Linked DNA regions of Caenorhabditis elegans. The protein of the gene in region 3 purifies or fractionates together with the protein of the main gene of each other region. This does not show direct contact. Each region holds a gene or a part of one and is shown on either strand. Other genes may lie near its edges. The genes, in order: mppa-1, B0280.9 and krr-1.

Region 1 (9,018 bases), on a different chromosome or scaffold from region 3:
CGTGTTTTAAAGCAATTTTTTACCTTTTTTTACCTATTATTTATTTTTTACCTTTAATGTAAAAAAAAAATATTTTTAGAGTTAAAAATGCAACAAAAAAAATAATTATGCATATTTTTTTGGTCAAAATTCGATTTTTTAAAAATCGAAATTAATTGAAAATTCTCAATTTTTGTTTAATTTCGACCATTTTCCGCATTTTTTTCCCCAACAAAAAATGCGATTTACCAGCAGAAAAAGCTCCACCACCGCCTAAAAGTGATTGTAGCACACAAAATGCCACAAAATCCTCGTCCTTATAACTACATCCTTCCAGTCCAAGTACAACATGTGACAATAGTGGATACGGTTTTCCAATTGTCAATTTCGTTAAATCAGTGTCCAATCGGAGCTCTCCGCCAGTGTATTGAGCACGGGATTCGTCAATTTCCGGGATTTTGGCGGGAAGTACTGTCGGTTGTGTAGTCCACGTGGATTTGTTGAGGTCAAAGTGACGAGAAATGATGGAAACGAATTCGTCGTGGCCGACGCCGACTCCTGGCAAGAGAACATTGAAATTAATATTGCAAAAAAGAATTTTTAATTTTTTTTTTCTGAAAATCTAGTTTTTTTTTTCAAGTTTTTTTCGAGTTTTAAACAGAAAATTAAGACGTTTTTCAAAAAAATTAAAAATTATAACAGTTTTTCTAACTGTATACTACTTTTTTAAAATTGAAACAAATCGGAAAATTTTCAGAGGTTTAAAGTTCAATTTTTCCATATTTTTTCGATATTTTACTGTACTTACACTTACAGTACTGTAGGATTACTGTAGTTTCGGAAAAAATTGATTTTTTGTCTTCTGAAGCGGTTTTGTTTTTTGATTCGGTAGAGGGATATGGTCGGGACACTGTAGGGGTACTGTAGAGCTACTATAGGAGTACTGTAGGATTACTGTAGTTTTGGAAAAAAAAAAATGATTTTTTGTCTTTTGAAGAGATATTAGTTTCTGTTCAGTGGAGGGATATGGTCGGGGTACTGTAGGAGTACTGTAGGATTACTGTAGTTTTGGAAAAAAATTGATTTTTCTCTTTTGGAGGGATATGGGTTTCCGGTTAGTCGGGGGATAAGGTCGGGGTACTGTAGAGGTACTGTAGGATTACTGTAGTTTTGGAAAAAAAAATGATTTTTTGTCTTCTGAAGAGGTTTTGTATTTTGGTTGGTGTAGGGATATGGTCGGGGTACTGTAGGGGTACTGTAGGGGACCTGTAGGGGTACTGTAGGAGTACTGTAGGATTACTGTAGTTTTGGAAAAAAAAATTGATTTTTCTCTTTTGGAGGGATATGGGTTTCCGGTTAGTCGGGGGATAAGGTCGGGGTACTGTAGAGGTACTGTAGGATTACTGTAGTTTTGGAAAAAAAAATGATTTTTTGTCTTCTGAAGAGGTTTTGTATTTTGGTTGGTGTAGGGATATGGTCGGGGTACTGTAGGGGTACTGTAGGGGACCTGTAGGGGTACTGTAGGAGTACTGTAGGATTACTGTAGTTTTGGAAAAAAAAATTGATTTTTCTCTTTTGGAGGGATATGGGTTTCCGGTTGGTCGGGGGATAAGGTCGGGGTACTGTAGTAGTACTGTAGAGGTACTGTAGGATTACTGTAGTTTTGGAAAAAAAAATGGTTTTTTGTCTTCTGAAGAGGTTTTGTATTTTGGTTGGTGTAGGGATATGGTCGGGGTACTGTAGGGGTACTGTAGGGGACCTGTAGGGGTACTGTAGGAGTACTGTAGGATTACTGTAGTTTTGGAAAAAAAAATTGATTTTTCTCTTTTGGAGGGATATGGGTTTCCGGTTGGTCGGGGGATAAGGTCGGGGTACTGTAGTAGTACTGTAGGATTACTGTAGTTTTGGAAAAAAAAGAAGATTTTTTGTCTTCTGAAGCGGTTTTGTTTTTTGGTTCGGTAGAGGGATATCGTCGGGGCACTGTAGGGGTACTGTAGAGCTACTATAAGAGTACTGTAGGATTACTGTAGTTTTGGAAAAAAATTGATTTTTCTCTTTTGGAGGGATATGGGTTTCCGGTTAGTCGGGGGATAAGGTCGGGGTACTGTAGTAGTACTGTAGTAGTACTGTAGAGGTACTGTAGAGCTACTATAAGAGTACTGTAGGATTACTGTAGTTTTGGAAAAAATTGATTTTTCTCTTTTGGAGGGATATAGCTTTCCGGTTAGTCGGGGAATATGGTCGGGGTACTGTAGGGGTAACGTAGAGGTACTGTAGGAGTAGCTTTGGAAAAATTGATTTTTTGTCTTTTGAAGAGATATTGGTTTCGGTTCAGTGTAGGGATATGGTCGGGGTACTGTGGTAGTACTGTAAAGGTACTGTAGAATTACTGTAGTTTTGGAAAAAAAGACTTTTCGTCTTTTGAATGGATTTTGGCTTGGGTTCAGTGGAGGGATATGGTGGGGGTACTGTAGGAGTACTGTAGGATTATTGTAGTTTTGGAAAAAGTTGATTTTTTGTCTTTTGAAGCGGTTTTGTTTTTTGGTTAGTGGAGGGATATGGTCGGGGTACTGTAGGATTACTGTAAGTCAAGTACTGTAACTTTAAGGTTTTTACAGTACTTGTAAGGTACTGTAAGAATTTTTTAATTATAAAATTTTCCGAAAAGGTTTTTTTTTTGAAAAAGCTCAATTTTTCCATATTTTCTCTAATTTTCAACGGTTTTTTTTGTACATTTTTTTTGCGATTTTTCAACAAAAAAAAATCGAAACCTCTCCTCGTGAAGTACAACACAATTACCTCCAACAACCATTCTTTGAGGAGTATGAGCTCTGCTCAAAAACCCATAAACATCAGAAACTCGAATTTTATCCATCGAATTGTTGCCAAATTTCGGATATCCTATAGTATTATTCTGAAAAGCCGCTTGATGAATCCAGTCAGTAAGGAGAATTTCGATGGCTTCAATTCGATTCGGTAGATCTTGATTCTCGTAGGAAACTGTTAGTTTCGCCTGTTCGAGACTTTGTTCGTCAAAAATTGGCTTCCAAATAGTGTCGGATAGTACGTGAATTACAGAATCCACTCCGTCACGATGGCAGCTCGCCGCGTACATCATTGTGTCACGTGTACTCTGACAATCCACAATTCCACTGTTTTCCTCGAGTTTTGCAAAGACTTCGTCGCGGCTTGAGAACGATTCCGATGACTGGAAATTTTGCAATTTTTTTTGGGAAAAATTAGTTTTAACAAATTTTCGAGTTTCAAAAAAAAACTATTTTGGAAATTTTTAAAATTAAAAAAAACCTTACAATTAAAGGAGGACTAACGGTTCGGACGATTTTGAACGTATAGACCCAAAATGTTCTCAAATGAACGAATTTCGTGATGAAACTGCTCAAAAATTTTTCAAAAATTTTTTATGGCGGTTCAAAATTTCGAAAAAATTACACTGATTTTAGCTAAAATCTCGAATTTTGCCTATTTTTCGGTGTCACATCGGTCCGAAGTTGACTTTTTCGGAATTATCATCCTTTATTGCATATATTGGTAGTTTATCTCATTTAATTTTGTTGATTAAGGTACAATTAAAGCCGATCGGTAACCAATTTCGACGATTTTTGGTCACCTATCGGCTTTAAATGTACCTTAATCAACAAAATTAAATGAGATAAACTACCAATATATGCAATAAAGGATGATAATTCCGAAAAAGTCAACTTCGGACTGATGTGACACCGAAAAATAGGCAAAATTCGAGATTTTAGCTAAAATCAGTGTAATTTTTTCGAAATTTTGAACCGCCATAAAAAATTTTATCCGTTAGTCCACCTTTAAGTTATTCTTGAAACTATATATATATGATATATACTATGTATACTGGATATATAGTATGTATATATATTATGTATATAACGAATTTTTCCTAAACTACCGTAACCCTACAGTACTCCTACCGTACCACTATTGTACTACTACAGTAACCCGACTATATATGTTTCAAGAATTTCTTAATTGTAAGGGTTTTTTTTTGAAACATTTCAATTTTTCCGTATTTTCAGATATTTTCTCATGGATATATATATATATATATTTATTTATTTTTGTGAAAAATTAGTTTTTTATTGGAAATTTTTGGTTTGTGGGGGCAAATTTGGCTCTGTAGGGTTTTTTTTTCGAAAAAATTACAAAACTTGAGTTTTCTCGGGTCATTTTTGGATTAATTTTTACCCCCGTTCTCCAAAAAACAAAAACACCCAAAAAATGCGTAGAAATTCAAAATTTTCTTTTCAAAAAATTAAACTTCAAAAACAGAAATTTGCAACAAAAATTTTAGAAAAAAATAGGAATTTCTACTGAAAAAACTAAATTTTCCAAAAAAATAACTTTTAAAAAACTTGGTTGAGTAGCGAAATCTGTGGAAATATTTTTAATTTACTCCAAATTTTCCCCTGATTCCGAATATCTATGTGAAAAAAATTAAAATTCAAAAAAATTCCCCTGATTTTATATTGAAGCTTGAAATCGCCGAATTTCATTTGTACTTCGAAAACACTTTTTTAAATTCGCGCCCAAAAATATTCGCATGGAGCGCGCTTTGATTTTCTTCATTTGAATATTTTCTTCATTTTTCGCCGAGTTCAGTTTTTTTAAAAACCAGTTTCATTAATTTTTGTCGAATCTGTATCGGTTTTTCTAAGAAAAAATATTTTTCGACAAAAATTAATGAAACTGGTTTTTAAAAAAACTGAACTCGGCGAAAAATAAATAAATTATTTAAATGAAGACAATCAAAGCGCGCTCCAATGCGAATATTTTTGGGCGCGAATTTAAAAAAAGTGTTTCCGAGGTACAAATGAAATTCGGCGATTTCAAGCTTAAATATAAAATCAGGGAAATTTTTTTGAATTTTTTCACATTGATATTCGGAATCAGGGGAAAATTTGGAGTCAATTAAAAATATTTCCACAGATTTTGGTACTCAACCAAGTTTTTAAAAAGTTATTTTTTTGAAAATTTAGCTTTTTCAGTAGAAATTCCTGTTTTTTTTTAAATTTTTGTTGCAAATTTCTGTTTTAAGTTTGTTTTTTAACGTATTTTTTGAGTTTTATTGGTTTTTGGAGAACGGGTAAAAATTAATCCGAAACTGGCCCGAGAAAACTCAAATTTCGTCATTTTTTCCCGATTTGCATCATATTTTTCTCTAATTTTTCCAATTTTCCATAATTTTTCCTATCAAAAGCCTACATTATAAGCAAGTTTCTCCACAATTCTCGAAATTCCAAACGGAAAACCATTTTCATAGCGGCAGCCGCTCTCAATCGCGACGCCAACAGTCACAAAATCGCCGTAAGTGTCTTCTGTGCAAACTTTCAGGCCGTTCGGAAGTCTAGTAACCCTCGAGTTTCTTCCCATTGGCGGGCATCCTTTTTCTATTGATTTGGAGTTGTTTTCCATTGGCAGAGGCACGGAGAGCGGGAGTTTCTGCGCAATTTCCTTGTTATTTCGGACGGAAGCGCTTATATCTCGGCATATTTTGATGTAGGGGATGCTTTTCCGAAGGAGCATCTGAAAATTTAATGTATTTTTGATAAATTTCGAGTAAAAAACTGAAAAAATCGAGAAAAATAAATAAAAAATGATTAAATAAATAAATGTGTGCAATTTGTCGTCAAATGTGGTGTGCGGTGTTTGCGGACTTTTGGGATTCGAATAAAAATTATTTATTTTTTATCTATTTTTTATGTTTTTCTTTGATTTTTCTTTGATTTTTAGCTGAAATTATTGGATTTTTATTGATTTTTATTGTTTAAACGATAAATATTGATACTTTACAGTAAAAAACCGCAGAAAATATCGAAAAATCTCAATAATTTTTTTCTTTTAGTTTCTCATTGTTTCCATCAGTTTTTAGGAGCAATTCATATGTTTTCTTCTGCTTTACCGCTCGAATTTTAATGTTTATGGAGAAAACCTTATTTTTATATTTTTAGGCGCGCTAAAAAATGCTGCCCAATCGCCTACTGGCCAACCGTGCCTACTCCACAGCAATAAATCGATTTCGTGTGGTGGAAGTTGGCGCGCGAGACGGTTTACAGGTAATTTATCCTGGAAAATTGCAAAATAATTGCAAAAAATCCATTATTTTCTTAATTTCAGGCCGAAAAGAAGTTCGTTCCCACCGAAATCAAGGTCGAGCTCATCGATCGGCTCTCAGAGTGCGGATTTCAAACGGTAGAGACGACAAGCTTCGTCTCACCGAAATGGGTGCCCCAGTTGGCTGATCACAACGAAATTGTCAAGAAACATCGGAGATTTGAAGGTGTCTCCTACCCGGTTCTGGTTCCAAACGCCGCTGGCCTCAAAAACGCGGTATTTTATTGATTTTTTAGGGCTTAAAGGTGGAGTAGCGCTAGTGGGGATGACCGAATATCATAGTAAAAAAATTCAAAAAATTTTTCTAAATTTTATATGATTTTTTGAAAATTGAAAAAATCTCAGTTTTTGCCTAATTCCTATTTGAATTTCCGCCAATTGGATTTGTTCGATGGAGCGCGCTTGCACGTTTTTAAATTTATTTATTTTTGTTATTTTCCACCAATTTTTAATGTTTTCGGTGTATTTTTGCTCGAATTTTAGAGAAAAAGCCAAGATAAATGCAAATTTTCGATTAAAAAGCACGCTGACAGGCGTAAAAATGACAAAGTAACGCTTTTAAATGATTTCGAACCTGAATTAATTAATTTCACTGATTTACGCCTGTCAGCGTGCTTTTTAATCGAAAATTTGAATTTATCTTGGCTTTTTCTCTAAAATTCGAGCAAAAATACACTGAAAACATTAAAAATCGGTGGAAAATAACAAAAAATAAAATAAATAAATTTAAAAACGTGCAAGCGCGCTCCATCGAACAAATCCAATTGGCGGAAATTCAAATAGGAATTAGGCAAAAACTGAGATTTTTTCAATTTTCAAAAAATCATATAAAATTTTGAAATTTTTTTAAAAATTTTTAATCATGATATTCGGTCATTGTGGTACCATAGGCATGTTTTAAAGCAATTTCCCCACTAGCGCTACTCCACCTTTAAAATTGCAAATTTCTCAAGTTTCCAGCTCGCAACAGGAGTCGTCGAAGAGATTGCCGTATTTGGAGCAGCTTCAGACGCGTTTTCACTGAAAAATGTGAATTCCAATGTGGAAGATAGTCTGAAAAAGCTCATGGAAGTCACAAAAATCGCCCTCGAGAACAATATTCGAGTACGTGGCTACGTTTCAGTCGTCGTTGGATGCCCGTATCAGGGAGCTGTACAGCCGGAAATGGTGGCCAGAGTCGCCGAGAAGCTTCTAGAATCTGGGTGTTATGAGGTCTCGCTGGGCGACACTATTGGCGTTGGAACAGTGAAAACTGTGTCGAAAATGCTGGATACGGTGCTGAAAAGTGTGCCAGGTAGCGGATTTTTTTAAATATTTTATATTAAAATTTCGATTTTTCGAGTGAAAAACTACAAAAAAAGTAGTTTCCCGCAGTTTTCCCGGCTTTTTTCGCATGAAAACCAATCGATTTCAGTCAAATAACTCACGAAACGATAAAAATCTCAATTTTCGTTGCGAGACCCACAATCTGTGGAGAAATTGACCGAATATCGTGATAAAAAAATTCAAAATTTTTTTCTAGACTATATGATTTTTTTTTGAAAATTGAAAAATCTCAGTTTTTACATAATTATATTTGAATTTTCGCCTATTGGATTTGACCGATGGAGCGCGCTTGCATTATTTTAATCAATTAATTTTATTTATTCTCATTATTCGACTGATTTTCTTCTTTTCTGTTTTTTTTTTGTTGGAAAATGAAAGAAATAAAAAAGACAGATGCAAAATTTTTGTTAAAAAATAACTGAAAATGCCTTAAACTGTAATTTTTTTTGAATTCTGACGACGACAAACCTGAAATTAGTATATTTCACAGTTTTACAAAATATATTTTTATTTATAAAACTGTAAAATATACTAATTTCAGGCTTGCCGTCGTCAGAATTCAAAAAAAATACAGTTTTAGGCATTTTCAGTTACTTTTTAACAAACATTTTGCATATGTCTTTTTTATTTCTTTCATTTTCCAACAAAAAAAAACAGAAGAAATGAAGAAATTCAGTCGAATAATGAGAATAAATAAAATTAATTAATTCCAATAATGCAAGCGCGCTCCATCGGTCAAATCCGATTGGCGGTAATTCAAATAGGAATTAGGGGAAAACTGAGATTTTTTCAATTATCAAAAAAAAATCTTATAAAATCTAGAAAAAATTTTTTGAATTTTTTTATCATGATATTCGGTCAATTTCCCCACAGATTGTGGGTCTCGCAGCGAAAATTGAGATTTTTATCGTTTTTTGAGTTATTTCAATGAAAAATCGATTGATTTTCAGGCGAAAAAAGTCGGGAAAACTGTGAAAAAAAATTATTTTCGAAAGAAAAAAAAATTTCAAAAAATCACCACCATTTCAGCCGAAAAACTCGCAGTTCATTTCCACGACACATACGGTCAAGCTCTCGCAAATGTGCTCATTTCCATCGAAAAAGGCATCCGAAGTGCGGATTCAAGTATCGCAGGGCTCGGTGGTTGCCCATATGCGAAAGGAGCAACTGGAAATCTTGCAACTGAAGATTTATTGTATTTTTTGAAAGGAAACGGTTTTGAAACTGGTGTCAATTTGGACAAAGTTGTCGAAACTGCAAAATGGTTTAATGAAGCCGCCGGATATGATAAATGGTCGAGAGTTGGAGCTGCAATGATGGCTAAAAAGAGCAAAAGCTGCTGCTGAAAATGTGTGCTGTAAAAAATTTAAAAAAATTTTTAAAAATTCGTGTAAAAATTACCCCGGTTGTTTAGGAAATAATAAAGAGATTAGAGACTTTTTTCAGATTTTTATTTTCTTGAGTTTTGCCGGTTTTCAGCCGATTTCTATCTTTTTTTTCTCATTTTTTGTGATTTTTTTTCGCTAGTTTTCCCCTCAATTTCTCGATTTTTTCACG
Region 2 (8,282 bases), on a different chromosome or scaffold from region 3:
TACTTGTGTATTACATGCCTTCATTTTAATTTTCATTAATTTCTCCAATTAAAATAAACGTGATAAACATTTTTCCTCTTCAGGCTTAGAAAAGGATATTTCCTAAGCCTAGAAATACAAAAATGTGGTACACGTTTTTATTGTTTTTAACTTTAAAAATTACTCAAAAAATGAGGGCATGTAATACACAAGTACCAATAATAGTATCTAAATAGACGAAGAGTTGCTCAAAAAGTTGAATCTGATTTCAAACAGATACCTCCCAAAAGATCAGAAATCCAGATATTACAGCATTGCTCTTTTAATCCTGTTAGAATTGAATGCGCGTTTGTGTCTACACCGAGACAAAAATAAAACTAAAATATCTTGTAGATACCTGAATCAAAGTAGAAACACAAAGAGACTCACTGAAATATCAAGGAAAAAAAGAGAGAAGCCAGACATTTCTCTCTGATTCTTTGGAACTTGCAGTCTTAATGAACTCTTATGATCGCTGAACTTTTCTAACGAGCTAATCTTTGGTTGAATGAGCATTTATTTTCATCTGACGTTGAACACATGAGTCAGAAGTACGGCTTTTTGTGCACTACAATTTAATAAATGACTTGACGTCTTACCTTGACGAATATTTTAAACAATTAATTAAATTTGGTCCTATGCGAAAAGTCAACATGCTCCAAATATACACAGGAGAAAGAGCTCCACGTAGGCTCAAAAATGTTAATTGCTCACTGGATGGCTCACACCTTCCCTATTTCTATACACACCTGAAAATGTTTCATTAGTTGACGTTTCAACTTGAAACTTTAATGAAATACATAAAGATATGCTTCTATTGGATTTTAACCAAGGAATAAATGCAGTATACTCTCTCTCCTTATAGTTAAACAAACAAATACTTGTAGCCACCTGTCATTAAAAAGATACAATCTCCGAAGTCAGAATTTTTATAAAAAACTATAAAATTGATTGATAGAATGTAGGTTGCATCTTAAAAACTGTTTTCTATGTCTAAGAATTTGTGTTTTGTGTATGTAAAGATACTATCGGTTGTGATCAAAAATTGATTTCAATTGGATATATTAATAACATTTTTCCAGATATTTGCGTTCAAAAAACATAAAATTTGAAAAGGCTCTGACTATACCACTTCGGAATATAAATTAAATAAAAATGTCGTATCATTTTTTCGCCCACTTATCTTATTCAAATCCGACGATATCCAGCTCAACACTCAAGTTAAAGATCAAGACGAGTCACATTTGTTGAGGAGTAAATATAGAAGATTCATGAATTATAACTCGTCGCAATGATAATATTCAGGTGGAATCAGAGAAAGATTTCCAAAAATGATATTACTTCTTACTTAGTTAGTCAAAGACTTGTGATACAATCGAAAATTGGAAAATGAATAAAAGTTACACATGTCTTGTAACTAGTTTTTGTGCCTGCCTGTCGACTTTATAAACTCTATACATTAGAAAATAAATAATTTTAATCTCTAGTTCCTAAATCCAAAACATTGACATCTTAATTGATATTTTAAATTGAGTCTTTAATAAATTTTTTAACTGACTTATAGAAAGAACATATTTTTCATGATAATTGTTAGTTTTGTGATATCGTCGTATTACTAGAGGAAGTGGACTTTACAATGATAATAATCAGGCGGGCATTACATCAACATTTGGCTTTATACGTAGCTTCTATTCGAAAAACAATTATCGTGTGGAAGCTGAAATCTGGAGAAGGTACTTTGAAGGCACGTGTATTTTGATTTCAGTTTTTCCGTCGTTATGTACAGGCGCCAAAAAATTTGTGGAACTGAGTTTATAAAAGCAACAATCTTCTGAGTGCCAAGTTTCAATACTGAGGACATAATTTCACGAAATTTCTTTCCGTCATCAGTTTAAAGACACACACTGTTTTTTGAGTGGGTCTCGCCACGATCTCAGTCATAATGACCGTTACATTTTTTACAGATTTGTTAATTCGATGTAGTTTTAAACAGTTGATTTTATCTGAAAATGGTAATATATCGTATATTCTCTTTCAGTGCTGCACCCACATAGCTCAACTTGCATATATCTCGAAGGTTTTGGGTGATTTTGTACATTTCAAAAACATTAGGCATAGAAAAAGATTTAATAAGCATTTTAGCTAAAGTTTTTTGGCTGAAATCAAGAGATGACCGAGATATGAGATGTCAAAGTTGAACAATGGGGATGCCGCACTAATAGAGAATAAACGGTAACTTTTTTTAATCTTCAAAAAAAATAATTAAAAAATGGCCAAATTGACAGATCGGAAAAGTTATAATTGTAGGTTTTTCGATAAGAAATCTGAATTCGTTTTCCTCTCAATCAAATAATCAACGATCACAATTCTAGAATTAAGACATCAAAACACAATAAAATCGGGTGACAAGTAGGTCGGTAAGAGACCATTGGTTATTGTGCTCCAGTGAAAAATCTGCCGAAAAACGGACTTTGGAGAAACAAATTAAACTTTTCTTGTTCCTCTTATACTAATTCTACCAGACTTCACGTGAAAAACTGACATTCATTGTTAATTTTTCGTCATTTTCGATCGTTCGTTGTGTTGTTCAACCCTTTTCTAACTGGCGACTATTGAGACAATTCTATGTCACTATAGTGTACAAAGAACGATCAAGTCATTTTTCGGTACAGACTAGGACTACGTTCAACTGTTTTTGAATTTTTTGTGCAAACGTCGGTTTGTATTTTTAAATCTTCCAGTGGTTCAAAAGCTGCTCTGGAAGTTGGAATAAAAACGATAAATTTTCATAACAACAAAAAAACGGATGAAGAATAAAAACAAAACAATTTGGACGAAATCAACGACAAAGAAAAGAATAACAATGTTAGAACCAATTAATAGTCTGTAAAATGATGAATTTCAAAAACATGAAGACGTCCATCATCGTTTCCAACGGCCATATATCCTCCATTTGGAGAAAACTCCACACATCTTGCATGTGTCACTTTTCCGTTTCTTTCCGGGAAGTTTTTGAATGTTGTCTGACTTGCCACGTGGACGAGACGAAGATGATTGTCCTTGACATTTGAACAAATTGCCATCAATTGAGCATCAGAATTGAAAGCGATTGATGAGACCGCGGTGACGAGATTAGAAACATTGAAAAGTGGACGAGGATTTGTAGAATTGCGGCAATCATTTCCAGAATAGACATTCACGATTCCGGTATCACTTCTGGAAATTTCAAATTTTCATCATATAATCAGGATGTATGTAAAGACTAGGTCATTTATTTTCACCGGAATTCAACAAAAAAAGATTTTTTTTTTTAAATTTTTGTTGCTAAACTGAAAATATCAACAAAAAAAAAGATGTAGCAAACTGTACAATTATATTAATATATGAATTATATGAATGAATGACAGTATCGTGATTTTACGAATTATAAAAGTTTGATTTTAAAAAAGCTTACCCAGTCGCAAAGTAATCTCCATGTTGGCTGATGGCGAGTGTTGTTCCGTGCACAGCTCCATCGTCGGTGAATGTATGTTGCGATGATTTGGTTCCCGGCAATCCAATGTTTGCGATCACAATTTGGCCGGTCTCTAGAAATTTCGAATAATTTTTGAATTTTTGGCAATATAAAACCAACCGCAGATGATCCAAATTTCACGGCTGTGCGATGGGAAAAACTTGATTTCTGACGCATTTGCTGGGAGTGATATTGTTGTGATATGCTCCATCGACTGAAACATTTTACATTTAAACTTTTAATTTGCCAATAATTTAATTTTTTGACATACAGTAGCATGGAGAACATAGATGTGAGAATTGTGTCCTGCAATTGCCAAAAATTGAGAGTCATGCGAAATGGCAAAGAGCCGAATTCCTTGCTTTGGTACTGCTGTAAAATGTTCAAAGTTTTGCTTCAAATTTTATTAAATATTAAACGTACTGTTTGGAGGTTTCAACTGTGTCACTTCTCTTGTTTCCATATTGTACTGCATCAAATATTCCTTTCGGCTTGAAGAACAGATCACAGAGTGTCCTTTATCAGCAATTTCCAGACTATCAATCGGGAATTTTGAGAAATTCGCACTTTGAAGGAAACGATCCTTTTTAACCTCACGACTTACCTGAAATAAGTAAGGAATGGTTTAATTAAAACAGAAAACACAACTTACTTTAAAAAGTTGAACATTTCCACCTTGATCGGCAACAATGAGCACTGGTCGGGTTTTATGAAATTTAACAACAGTGATTCCACGAGTGTATCGGTGTCCGATGTTGAAATCTTTTATAAGAGTTGTATGAATAGTTGTTTTTGGTAAATTCACGTCTTTCGCCAAATATCCGGCAGCAGTTTTCAACAATGACCCTTCTTCTTCGTCTCCTAAAATTGTAAAATACGATTTTTGAACTATTGATTTTCCAAAAACCTGCAGCAGCCTTAGCCCATTTTGGTGTGCCTCCGTGGCGTTTTCTGAACGCCTCTTGCAATCTACCAACGTATTCCTAAAATATTAAAATTATTTTTCAGAAGTAATTTATCCTTCTGCCTATTTTCAATTATATAATCTTTATTACACGTTGAATAACGTATTTCTAAAAAAAATTTACCTTTGAATCCAATTCTCCATGTTCTTCGTCTGTGGTTCGCTTGAGTTCAACTCGCATTGTCATTTTCACTTTTTTTGGAACCGCCACAACCATATTATCGTCGTCCTCATCGTGCCACGCAGGCTTTTCAGACTCAATCACTGGCCGTTTGCTCATTTCTCTGAAAATTGTTCAAAATAACCTTAATGAAAGATTCAATAAGCTGAAAATTAAAGAAAATTCGGAAAAGAAAAAAGAAAAATGAGAAGCAATTGTCGTCAAATAGTGTGTGTTATCGTAGTTTTAGTGCAAACACCGTCACGTCTCAATGCAGAATTTCATTAATTTCAGTATTTCAGCTGAAAATTTCAGTCTTTCTTATCAATTTACTATTGTTTTCGTTTTCTTTTCAGCATTTTTGTATGTTTTCTACAAAATTTCCATTATCAGGAGTATTGCGAACCGCCAGAATGGTCACCTCCACCGGCCCTGAAGCAGAACTGGCTCCTATTGAGCAGGCGAAGAAACGAGTAAGTCAAAAATTAAGACCAATTCCAACCCTCATTAATCATTTCAGGCTGCGTTTGCCTGCGGTGAAAAATATGTGCAAAGTGGTTGCCGTCTTGGTGTTGGATCCGGAAGCACTGTCAAGTATTTGGTAGAATATCTTAAACAAGGATTTCAGAATGGAAGTCTCAAGGATATCATCTGTGTTCCAACCAGTTTTTTGGTAAACAGATTTTCAACAAACCCAATTGTTATAAATAAGTATTTCAGACAAAACAATGGCTGATTGAGTCTGGTCTCCCTGTCTCCGATTTGGATTCACATCCAGAACTGGATGTGTGTATTGATGGAGCTGATGAAGTTGACGGACAGTTCACGTGCATCAAAGGCGGAGGTGGATGTCTGGCTCAAGAAAAAATTGTTCAAACCGCTGCAAAAAACTTTTACGTGATCGCTGATTATTTAAAAGATTCCAAACACTTGGGTGATCGCTATCCGAATGTCCCAATTGAGGTAAATTATTTAACTTTTTATAATTATCAGTAAAGAAAGATGCACTAAAGAATAAACTTTAGAACAATAGTTTTTTCTAAATAGATGTAGTTATGTTGACTGTTTTTAATGAGATTTATTGCAGGTTCTACCTCTTGCTGCTCAACCACTTCTACGTTCGATTCCACGCGCTGAAGGTGGAAGCTGTCAACTTCGACAAGCTGTCAAAAAGTGCGGACCAATTGTGACAGACAATGGAAACTTCATTATTGATTGGCAGTTCGAGAAAAACGTATCCGGAAGAGATTGGTTCGCGATTCAGCAACGATTGGCCAATACACCAGGAATTGTTGAAACCGGATTATTCATCGGTTGCGTCGACGCAGTATTCTTCGCGTACTCTGACGGATCTGTCAAGGAAATTGTCAATTCCAAGAAGCACTGACTACTTGCATCGAATTTTGTTCATATTGAAAATTAGTTGTTTCTTATCACCACCACACTCTCCAAACTTCACTTTTCCTCTTCCCAGTTGTTGTGAAAATTGTACCCATTCATTCCCAATGTTCCTAGTATACGTGTAGTTCTTAGAATAGCCCCAATAAAAATTGTGTTGAAAAAACGTCTTTCTTAAAAAACTGAAAAAAAAATTAGAAAACTCTGAAAACGTTTTGAAATGTAAAGTGTCTGGATGTAAAGTGTCTGAAACTGTTTAATTTCAAATTACAGTAGTCTTGAAGTGTATGAATGGCGAGGATAGCTTAAAGATTGAAAGAAATGAGAATTTGCTTCCTAAATGACTCATTGGAGGCGGTAAAATTAAGAGCGAGCAATAATTTCAAAAATACTGATAAAGTTGGGAAATAAGTAAATATTTCAAAATTTTTAACAATTGCTGTATTAAAAAGCACTTTCGTCAAATCGTATCATTCGTATTCTATTCATTCCAGATTGTTCAAATTTTAATTTCCAAATGATTACATCTGAATTGAGTGATTTCCTCGAGATCAACGAAAAAAATAGTGTTCTAAGAGGAATATCGGCAAGCGATAAGGTATGATTTTGTGCACTAAGAGATAGGCACGGTCTCTGCTTAAAGACAAATGTAGTTTCAATTCAACTAGCTTGTGCTCATTTCAGATACTTTCATCAGGTATTTGTCAACTTCTTTTTTCTGAAAATGGGCATTGGCGGATACCGAATGGGGGAACCGCTGTGGCATTGTTTTTGAAAGTAAGTACGATAAATTTTAAAAAGATGAACTGTGGTAGAAAGCTGCAAAGATGTTATCATATGAAAACTACTAGAAGAACAAACAATTAATCTAGATTAATTATTTCAAAATGAGAAATGTATACTTTTTTCGAAGTGAGTCGCAGTAGGATTGTTTGCAAAATCCAATTTAGTTTTGCAAAGAAATACTCAAACTCAACAGACGATTAATTCAATTTTTCAGAACAGTACGGAACGATATTACCGGATAATAGTAATGGAACCATCTGCAGATCCAGATTGGGAACCAACAGTTCAATTTGATTTTCTTATTAGGTAATCTTGAATATAATTTAATTTCAACTAACACTATGATTATAGAGACAAAAAGTTTGAAACAATGCAGGAACATGCAAGGTTACTCGTTTTTGAGGCAGAATCCAGATACATTGGATTGAACTTTTACGACTCAAAGGAATGTGAGAACTTTCACAATAGTGTTTGCAAACGACAAAGTGAGTAATTCGATTATTAAACTAGTTGGAAAAATATCGCTTTTTCCATATTTTTATTATGTACAATACTATTTCTTAAATCAATTTTTGAGTTCAATAATAATAGGGTAATGTTTATATTTCCGTCTATCTTTGCTTTTATTACAGAAATAGGTAGAATACGGTAACTTGAGTTCTAATATATGCAAGATAGAACCCTAAATCGGTACTTGTGTATGATAACCCCACATTTGTAAAATTTATCTTTTTAGATTTTGAATGTGACTTTTATATATAGATTCTTAGGCTTACTATTCGAAAATGATATTCACATTTTTAATAAATGGGAAAATACAACAATTACTAATTTATTTTCAAAATATGGGGCTATAATACACAAGCCTTAAATTTCAGCGAGAAGTACCGATAAAGCAAAGCAGCCAGCATTGGAGGGAAAGACGAAGAAGAAAAGTAGTTTCTTTCATGATCCATTCAAATCCCACAGGGAACCAAGAAAACAAGTTGAAATTGAAGCACCAACAGATTTTCGGCATGTTGATGGTGTGAAGTTGACAGATGTACAAGAAGATTTGTATATGCAAGTTAGGAGTAAATTGAATGTATAGTTTTCCAAACCTCTATTGCCAAGACTACGTTGAAATTTCAGGTGAATAATCCAGAAGAAGAGGAAATTGTGAAGCAATTGATTGTAAGAAATGAAGATCATATTAGACAATCATTGATGGTGAAAAAAGAATCTCAAACTGTGAAAGAAGTTAAGGACAAAAATAAGGATAAAGTCAAAACAAGTAAAGTGAATCCGAAAATTGACAAAAGTCGACAAATAAGACTCGAAAACATTGTTGTCCAAAATTTGAAAATCTAAGACCGATTTATTTCTTTTTTTCAGAGCTTTTTTGGACGTAACAAACCAAAAGTCGAGGATGTTTCTCAACCGATTGTACCAGTCATCACTGG
Region 3 (7,862 bases):
GGGGTAGACGATGACGAAGGTGTAGAAGCGGCAGACACCATTTTGTTTGGCGGAACAGAATTTGACGTTTTTGCTTTTTTGGGTGGAGTCGCAGTAACACCGGACGGAGCAGGATTTGGCTCTGAAATAAATAAATAAATAATTTTCCAGTTAATAAATCTGAAAAAAACTTACTTTTCTGTACCTCTGCGGCTTCCTCTACGACGCGTTTTCTTGTACTCATTACTCGGTTCATCTCTTCCAAATAAGATTTCGAGTACGACGGAGTGCTTCCACCGCCACTAAAATTATCAGCTTGAACTTTAGAAAGAGCTTCAAATAGAGAATTAGAAGCAGCTGCTGAAGTGGATTTTGCCAGTTTTTCCCACGGATTCGGTTGAGAAGAAGGTGCAACCTTCGGCCTCTCTGATTCAGCATTCGGCGGTTTCAATGGAACTCCAAAAGCAGAAACCGATTTTGGAATGGAAGGCGCCGGAGCATTCAATTTTTCTTTCGGAATCCATGATTCAAAACCGGACGCGATTTGTGGCGGCGCCTTCTTTTCAACAATTTGTTGTATCAACGGCTTGGCGACAGCTTTCGGTGCAGGATTTAGTGTAGCTTGAGGAGATGAATGAGGTGGAGTGTCAACTATCTCCCCATCTTCCGGAGGAGAAACCCTTTCAGGATCATTCGGTGTACACGCCACGCTTCTCGGTGTTGTTATACTTTTAGGCGTTGCAGCGATTTCAGCGATTTTGTCCAGCAGCTCTTTATCCTTTTCTGAAAATTAAATATTTTGAAATTTAAATAATTAGAAAAATAATAACCTTTCAAAGTATGAGTCAATTTTATGACATCTTTCTTGTAGCGTTCCGCATATGCTTTCCAAGAATCACGTTCGTATTTTATCGAATCACAATCTTTACCCAATTTCTGTGCAGCAGACTCGAATAACGCGGCTCTCTCCACCGCATCATTCCTTTCCTGATTTGCCCGTGCACATTTTTCAGTCATTTCAGCCACTTCCATCGTCATTTTTTTGCGTATCTTCTCGACAGTTTTGCAGCGAGTACACGTCTCGTTATCCGCCAGAAAAAGTCGATCATTCAAGTTCTTCACAGCAGTTTCCGCCTGTTCGATGGCTTTATTTTGTTCTTTTTTGCATACATCTCTTGCTCGCAGATAGAATTCAGCTCGATCCTTCTCATATGTTAGTTCTTGTTGGAGGAACTCAACTTTTGCCAGCAGAGCGCTGTACTCCAATTTCTGATCTTCTGCGTTTTTTTGCATCTGTTGCTTATAAGCTTCATATGTCCTTGTCTGGCTTTTTATTACTGCTACAACCTCGGCTTCATGAGCTTTGAATTCTTCTTTTCTCTCAACCAAATCAGCACGAATATTTCGGAAACTGTCGGAAAATTCGAGTCGAGTAGACCTTCCGAAGTCTTTCAACGTTTTCACTGCCAACAGACTTTTCTCCTCGTTCTCTTCATATTTTAAAATTCGCTTCTCCTGCTCGCTAATCGTTCTAATCATAAGTAGAAACTTTTTCTTCAAAACCATTGGCATATCATTTAACCGAGCAGCAACCGGCTCTCCAAGGGCATCTCTGACAGTTGTATTGAAGCATTCCTTGAGATATGTTGATTTCAATAAGAGATCCGTATCGGTTTGGCAGCAAGTTTCCGCAGTTTTGGACACATGTGACGTTATAGGAGAACTTTTGAAAAATTCAGAAGTATGTGTTGGCTTTGTTGATACACTCGAAATCGTCGCAGCTCTTGGTGAGATTTTTATGGGTCGACCTCTCTTTTTGTCGATTGGTGTGACAGTTGGCGTATTTCTTAATTTAGTTTCTCTCGGACCTGAAAATAAAATATTTGGCAACAATATTCGAAAACTCGTACTTACGAGCATTTTCTTGGTCCTTTTTACTGATTTTCTCGGAACTCGTGGACTGAACTTGAGAGACTTTGGCTTTGCTCTTCTTCCGAGTTCCCCAATTGTTTTTCTTTGATTTTCCACCAAACGCATTTTTGGGTTTCTTTTTTGGGATGGTGGTTTTTTGTTCAGGTGTTTCCTCATCACCATCATCCTCATCGATGCCTTCATCATCTTCTTTAGCAATTTCTTCGTCCTTCTCATCCGAATTCCCATTAGTCGACGTGTCAGAATTGGAAACTCCCGAACCTTTTTCAGGTACTTGACATACACTATTTGAGCGTGAAGCGGATCTGGCTCTTTTCTGAGAACGAAGGAATTCAAGTCTTTCACTATTGGACAATATTCTTCCATCTGAAATTGTAATTTTAAATTTTCTATAAAAGTATCGTGTCTCTACCTTCATTCACAAACGAAAATACTCCTCTGACTTTCTTGGAGGACATTCCAAAAAAAGTTTTGCAATTACTGCAATAGCTTTTGAAGATATCCTCTGTTTTGCCGCCACTCGCTGGCTGAAATTTTTCCAATTTGTTTTAGCTTATCCTGTACAACCAACCTGGCGCTGCTTGAAAAACGATAGCGTAGCCAATACTGAACACGTATCGCATTTTACAGGATCAGTGGGCTTTAGTACTGACAACGAAGAAGTAGTCGAATCATTCGAGCTTTCATCAATTGGCGAATCATTATTCTCCGATGATGTTCCCTCGATTGGCTGAACAAGATTATAATGAAATTGAACGCAACAAAATAAAAAATTACGTCAATCTGATCAGTCGGATGCGCAGAAGGCAAGTATACGCTATGGTCCTCTGCTTCAGTTGTTGCGCCGTTCATTACCTGCCACTTATTTGTTTAAAAAAACAGGTAAAATAGACGCAAATTGAAACAAGATTTAACTTTCAGAATTATATAAAACACAAAAACAGTTAAAACATAAGAAAAGCCAGCAGAAGCAGTGTAAATTCCGCACAGAAAAATTAATCGACAAACCAGTGGGCGGAGCGTGAAGCAGGAGTCGCAACCCCCGCGCACTTTTTATGCAATGCTGCCGCACGAATTCCTCTCTCAGTTTTTGTTCCCTTTTTCTTCATTTTTAATCAATTTCTTCTGATTTTTTTTGTATATAACTTTATTTTATTTTGTATAAAACATTAAATATTAATTAAAAATAATTTAAGATGAGCAACGTTGACAAAAAAGCTAAACCTCGTGGAGAATACGAGCCCGAATGGGCTGGTGAACCGGAGGAAGAGAAGAAGACGCGGAAAGAGACTGCAAAAATGTTCGGACCACAGAAAGATGCAGAGTGGTGGGATATTAACACTTTCAGCAAGGTATGTTTTTGATATTGTATTCTAAATAAATATATTTCGATTTTTGAAGTTACCTGCTAAATTTACTTAAAACTAATTTTAAAATCTCCAAAACACTAAATATTTTCTGAAAAATTAAATGTTAAGCAATGAAAAAAGTTGGTTCCATGTAATTTTTCTCTTGTAGTATGAACCTGAAGAAAATGAATACATTTTTCAGGAAGACAATCCGAATGGTCTACTCCAAGAGTCATCATTTTCTTCATTATTCCCCAAATATCGCGAAAAGTATATTAAAGAAAGTTGGCCACTCATCGAAAAAGCTCTAGGAGAGCATTTCCTGAAAGCAGATTTGGATCTCCTCGAGGGAACAATGTGTGTCCGAACTACTCGTAAAACTTGGGATCCTTATATAATCATGAAGGCTCGCGAGGTCATCAAGCTTCTATCCCGTAGTGTGCCTTATGAACAAGCGATTCGTGTTCTCGAAGATGAAATCTATTGCGAGATTATCAAAATCTCTTCAATGGTTCGCAATAAAGAACGATTTGTGAAGCGTAGAGCTCGGCTAATTGGAAACGATGGTGCTACCTTGAAAGCTCTCGAATTGCTGACACAGTGCTATGTTTGTGTTCAAGGAGGAACTGTTTGTGCTGTTGGACCGCTTGCTGGACTGAAACAAATCAAGTGAGTTGAAAATATATTCTGACTCTCTTTGAAATCATAAAAAATTTCAGTCAAATCGTCACTGATTGTATGAAAAATATTCACCCAATCTACAATATTAAAACTATGATGATCAAAAGGGAATTATCTAAAAATGATGAATTGAAAGATGCAAACTGGGATGCTTATCTTCCAAACTACCGAAAGAAGGTTCAATCTGCAACTACAACAAAGGAAGCAAAGAAGAAGAAGGCTTACAAGATGAAGCCCAAGAAGGAGTTCACTCCGTTCCCACCGGCTCCAGTTATGAGCAAGATTGACAAGCAGATTGAAAGCGGAGAATATTTTATTCGCGAGAACGAAAGAAAGATGAACAAAAAGAGGTAAGTATTCTTAATTCAAAAATCGTAACGGAATTTAATAAATTTATGAAATTTTCAGAGCGAAATTGGAAGCATCGGCGGTGAAGACTGTGGAAAAACAGAAGCAAAAGTTGAAAGTGTATCAAGCAAAAGAGGAAGCTCCGCGAGAAAAACAGAACAAGAAGCGACCGAACGACGCGCCGATCGATTTGGAAAAGCTGAAAAAGAAGGCAAAGCTCAGTAAAGCCGCCAAGTAAATTTTATGATTTCACTGTTTCGTTTCTTTGTTATCAATGTTGTTGTTTTGTTGGAAATTGAAGTTTAAATTAAACCAAATTTTATTTGTTATTCATTTTATGAGAAACTTAATATTAAAAAAAAAGATTATTTGACTCTTACATAGAGCACGTTTTTAGTGGAATTAGACAAGATCATCATAATCAGTGAGTTTTTAGCCGTGGCGGCAACCAGTTTTTCAAGAATCCGATTCAGTGCCTCCGCGTTGTCAGGAACTTCTCCTTGCTCTGAATCAGTTTCTTCCAATGGTTCTATTTTTTCTTTGTCAATCTCCACGAGGATTACACTGTCATTGAGCATTTCAGAAGCTACACTGTTGACGAATCCATTATAGGAGGGAAAAGAGGAATGAAGTTTTGAGCGGACCCTGAAATAAATTAGGTACTTAAACTTTATTATTTTTAAATATCTTACTTTTTTGATATGGGAGGACAGTCGAGAATAGCAGTATCGAAAGCACACATCACAGATTTCATTTTATCCTTTTTCAAATAATTCCCGATTGGAGATGCTTTCTTTTCATGATCCACATCAAGTGTATCCTGCCAATGAAAATCTCCTTGGGCACTTATCCCGATCTTCACACAATGCACACATTTCGAAGGAGTCGATACAAATCTGCATCTGCAATTGGCAACTGTGCAAGCAACAACTGTTGGCTGAGAGCAATCAGTACACGGTTTTGATGTGATTTCAGCAGCCGTGACAATTTTCTTCTCAACTGCTCCATTGTTTTTTGCGTATTCAGAATATTTCCATCCGAAGCTCACGTTCCCGAACATCAATCCTTTTTCGAGTTTCAGCTGAGCGAGGCGCATCGCTGCCCACGCATCTTCATACGAGCAATGACCGAATTCTGATTGAATTTGTGCTCCGAGAAAGAGTTCCGTCAAATTTTTGAGACTATTTCGGAATTCTGTGTTGCTATTCGTATAGTTGAGAACATGACCAACGTCGAGACAAAATGGATGTGTCATTTTCATTGCCTGTAATTGGTTTCAATAAAATAGGAAATAAACTGAAAATTCGAATACCTGTAGATCGTGCTCTAATGAGTGTCCAACAAGAATTGCATCCGGCGGTAACAAGCTCTGAATAGCTTTTTGAACATCTCCAAGAGTCGTCGTTACTCCTTCCATCATATCCGGTGTAATTCCAGACCATCGCGTCACATAATCTGTGATTCGACCTTCTGGTTTCACAAGAGTATCTAGAATCGTATTCTCGAATTCATCCACTATCGATATTCGTGTAAGTTCTCGATTCGCAACGTCTGTTTCACACATCTCACAGTCAACAGAAAACATTGGAGATGAAGCTGATATTTTTTTATATCTGAAATTTTAAATAAAACTTAATCTGCACTGAAAACAAGTAATATCGCTAATTTACCCTTGTTTAGTGGGTACAACACCTTCTTCACCAGGAAATGGGTAGCGTCGTTGAGCCAATTGTTCAGTTGTGAGCACAAAATGCGATTTATCGTGTTTTCCGTCTCTATCATAAGTTTTTTGCATTATGACAGACTTTCTCCGAATCTGTTCCTGAATAGTAAGCCGGACTTGCATAATGCTGTTCCAGAACAATCCACGATCACTGACATCTGAATCCAACTCTATCCATTGCTTTTCAAAGAATTCACTAAGAAAGCTTAGATTCGTTGTCGTCTGTAATGATTTCAGCGATTTAGGTTTTCAATGCAATCCCTTACGAAAAAATCGTCATCCACATTGACACGAACCACTAGGTTCTGAAGGACATTTCTATGATGGGATAGACTGACCCATCTGGGCTTTTGGAGTGATGATCCAAATATGCTGAAGTGAATAAACTGAGCCAGAGCTGGAAAACTATGCGAAAATTGTGGATTTTAAAGTGGATTATTACTTTCGCAGTCTAATCGATGGCCATCACCTAGTCGGGACAGCCTTAACTCTAATTTTGGCTTGGATGGATCATCACTACTTGTACTAGGAGACTTGGTTGGTTTTTCAGAGCTTGTTAATCGACGTCTTTTTGTTGCACCTGAAATTAATTTCTTTTCCTGGAATTTATTTTTTTATTTATTCCCCTTACATTGAAATTCATGTTCTGCTTGTTCTGGTGATTTGAATAGGTTTTCTATCTCTGATTTGAGACTTTTCCTCAGTTCTCGCTTCGCCATCCCTCTCAAAAATCTGAAAAAAACGGTTAGAATTTCAAGAATAAAGAAAATAAAAAAATAAATTTATTTTCGGTGTGTGGCGTCCGTGTATGTGGTTTTTTTTCAAAAGAAATTATTAACATTTTTATTCAATAAATTTAATAACTTATTTTTCATCAGACATTTAAGTGAAATAATGCATTATATATATTTCTGTAACCCGGTTTTATTTTATGGCAATTGGAACGTTTGAGGGAGCCTCGAGATGTACAACGTGAAAGACTTCGTTTATGGAATTCCGGGTACCAACAAGTCGAATATACACAACTGGAAGAGGATCAAATATGAGTTCTTGCCATCCATGACATTCTTCATTGGTGCGGTCGACAATCGTAACCCATTCGTCTTGATTCTTCGATACGGCAACATAATACGAGTAGAATCGATCATCACAATTCCATAACAAAATTCGCATTGAAGATATAATGTAGGGCTGAGCAAGTTGAATCATGATGAGACCACTTCCAATTTGATGACACGTGTATCCAGTATCCCAGTCGTAGGATGAGGAATCCCCGTTGATAAGAGCATTCCGACATCGAGAAACTCCTTCAACAACCCGTGCGTGATTTTCTATCGTTGTGATGTTTCGATGAGGAACTGAGAAAATTGAAATTATATTACATTTCCACAGCAAAATGTGATACCTATGACTTTGTGCACAGGTTCGACAGGCATTGTTTCGGTAGAGAACATGGCTTCGATTCGACTTCCTTCCAGTTTACACGACATTGAATTGTTGACTCGGATCAAAATATGCCTGAAATGCAAATTATGGTGAATAATTTTCGAGTTTCACGGGTTTTCTGTAGAAAATTACTATAGGCGCTGTAGTTTTTTTTCGAAAGTTTTAAATGTTTCGGAAAATGAATAAAAAATAGATCAATTAAACTTCGCCCGTTAGTTCCAAAACCGCCGAAATGTTTTTGAATTTCTACTATTAATGCAATGGATTTTACAATAAAATCAATCACTTACCGCACAACAGAATCTGTGAAGAAGAGTCTTTGTGTTCCTCGACAATCATATTCCGAGTAATCAGCAACTAGATTCCAATGAGCATCAACTCGATTATCCATACTAACGTGAACT

Evidence for each region.
Region 1: the proteins of krr-1 (region 3) and mppa-1 fractionate together in Caenorhabditis elegans (co-fractionation; one large-scale study listed by BioGRID). This does not show direct contact.
Region 2: the proteins of krr-1 (region 3) and B0280.9 fractionate together in Caenorhabditis elegans (co-fractionation; one large-scale study listed by BioGRID). This does not show direct contact.

The regions. Positions count from the first base shown.
Region 1 is NC_003279.8:1,745,509-1,754,526, forward strand, and holds the start of mppa-1 (Mitochondrial-processing peptidase subunit alpha), read right to left. Parts: upstream 5,548-9,018; coding exon 5,227-5,547; intron 3,188-5,226; coding exon 2,779-3,187; intron 538-2,778; coding exon 229-537; intron 1-228. Other genes in the region: Y71G12B.10 (hydroxymethylglutaryl-CoA lyase), read left to right, coding at 5,985-6,077, 6,139-6,351, 7,096-7,429, 8,491-8,807. UniProt on the Caenorhabditis elegans protein: Substrate recognition and binding subunit of the essential mitochondrial processing protease (MPP), which cleaves the mitochondrial sequence off newly imported precursors proteins.
Region 2 is NC_003281.10:7,118,116-7,126,397, forward strand, and holds B0280.9 (U3 small nucleolar RNA-associated protein 18 homolog), read right to left. Parts: upstream 4,781-8,282; 5' UTR 4,777-4,780; coding exon 4,621-4,776; intron 4,516-4,620; coding exon 4,440-4,515; intron 4,394-4,439; coding exon 4,185-4,393; intron 4,137-4,184; coding exon 3,956-4,136; intron 3,905-3,955; coding exon 3,804-3,904; intron 3,747-3,803; coding exon 3,653-3,746; intron 3,606-3,652; coding exon 3,473-3,605; intron 3,235-3,472; coding exon 2,895-3,234; 3' UTR 2,790-2,894; downstream 1-2,789. Other genes in the region: rpia-1 (Probable-ribose 5-phosphate isomerase), read left to right, coding at 5,070-5,129, 5,177-5,329, 5,377-5,619, 5,744-6,043; B0280.2 (uncharacterized protein), read left to right, coding at 6,572-6,652, 6,739-6,831, 7,055-7,146, 7,192-7,325, 7,719-7,906, 7,972-8,118, 8,215-8,282. UniProt on the Caenorhabditis elegans protein: Involved in nucleolar processing of pre-18S ribosomal RNA.
Region 3 is NC_003283.11:7,228,083-7,235,944, forward strand, and holds krr-1 (KRR1 small subunit processome component), read left to right. Parts: upstream 1-3,107; coding exon 3,108-3,263; intron 3,264-3,462; coding exon 3,463-3,929; intron 3,930-3,979; coding exon 3,980-4,291; intron 4,292-4,349; coding exon 4,350-4,527; 3' UTR 4,528-4,654; downstream 4,655-7,862. Other genes in the region: gei-6 (GEX Interacting protein), read right to left, coding at 1-121, 175-762, 810-1,847, 1,894-2,277, 2,324-2,438, 2,483-2,641, 2,689-2,763; C05C8.5 (Exonuclease domain-containing protein), read right to left, coding at 4,655-4,934, 4,982-5,553, 5,602-5,902, 5,960-6,234, 6,279-6,409, 6,455-6,592, 6,644-6,731; hpo-9 (BTB/POZ domain-containing protein 9), read right to left, coding at 6,937-7,370, 7,418-7,530, 7,749-7,862.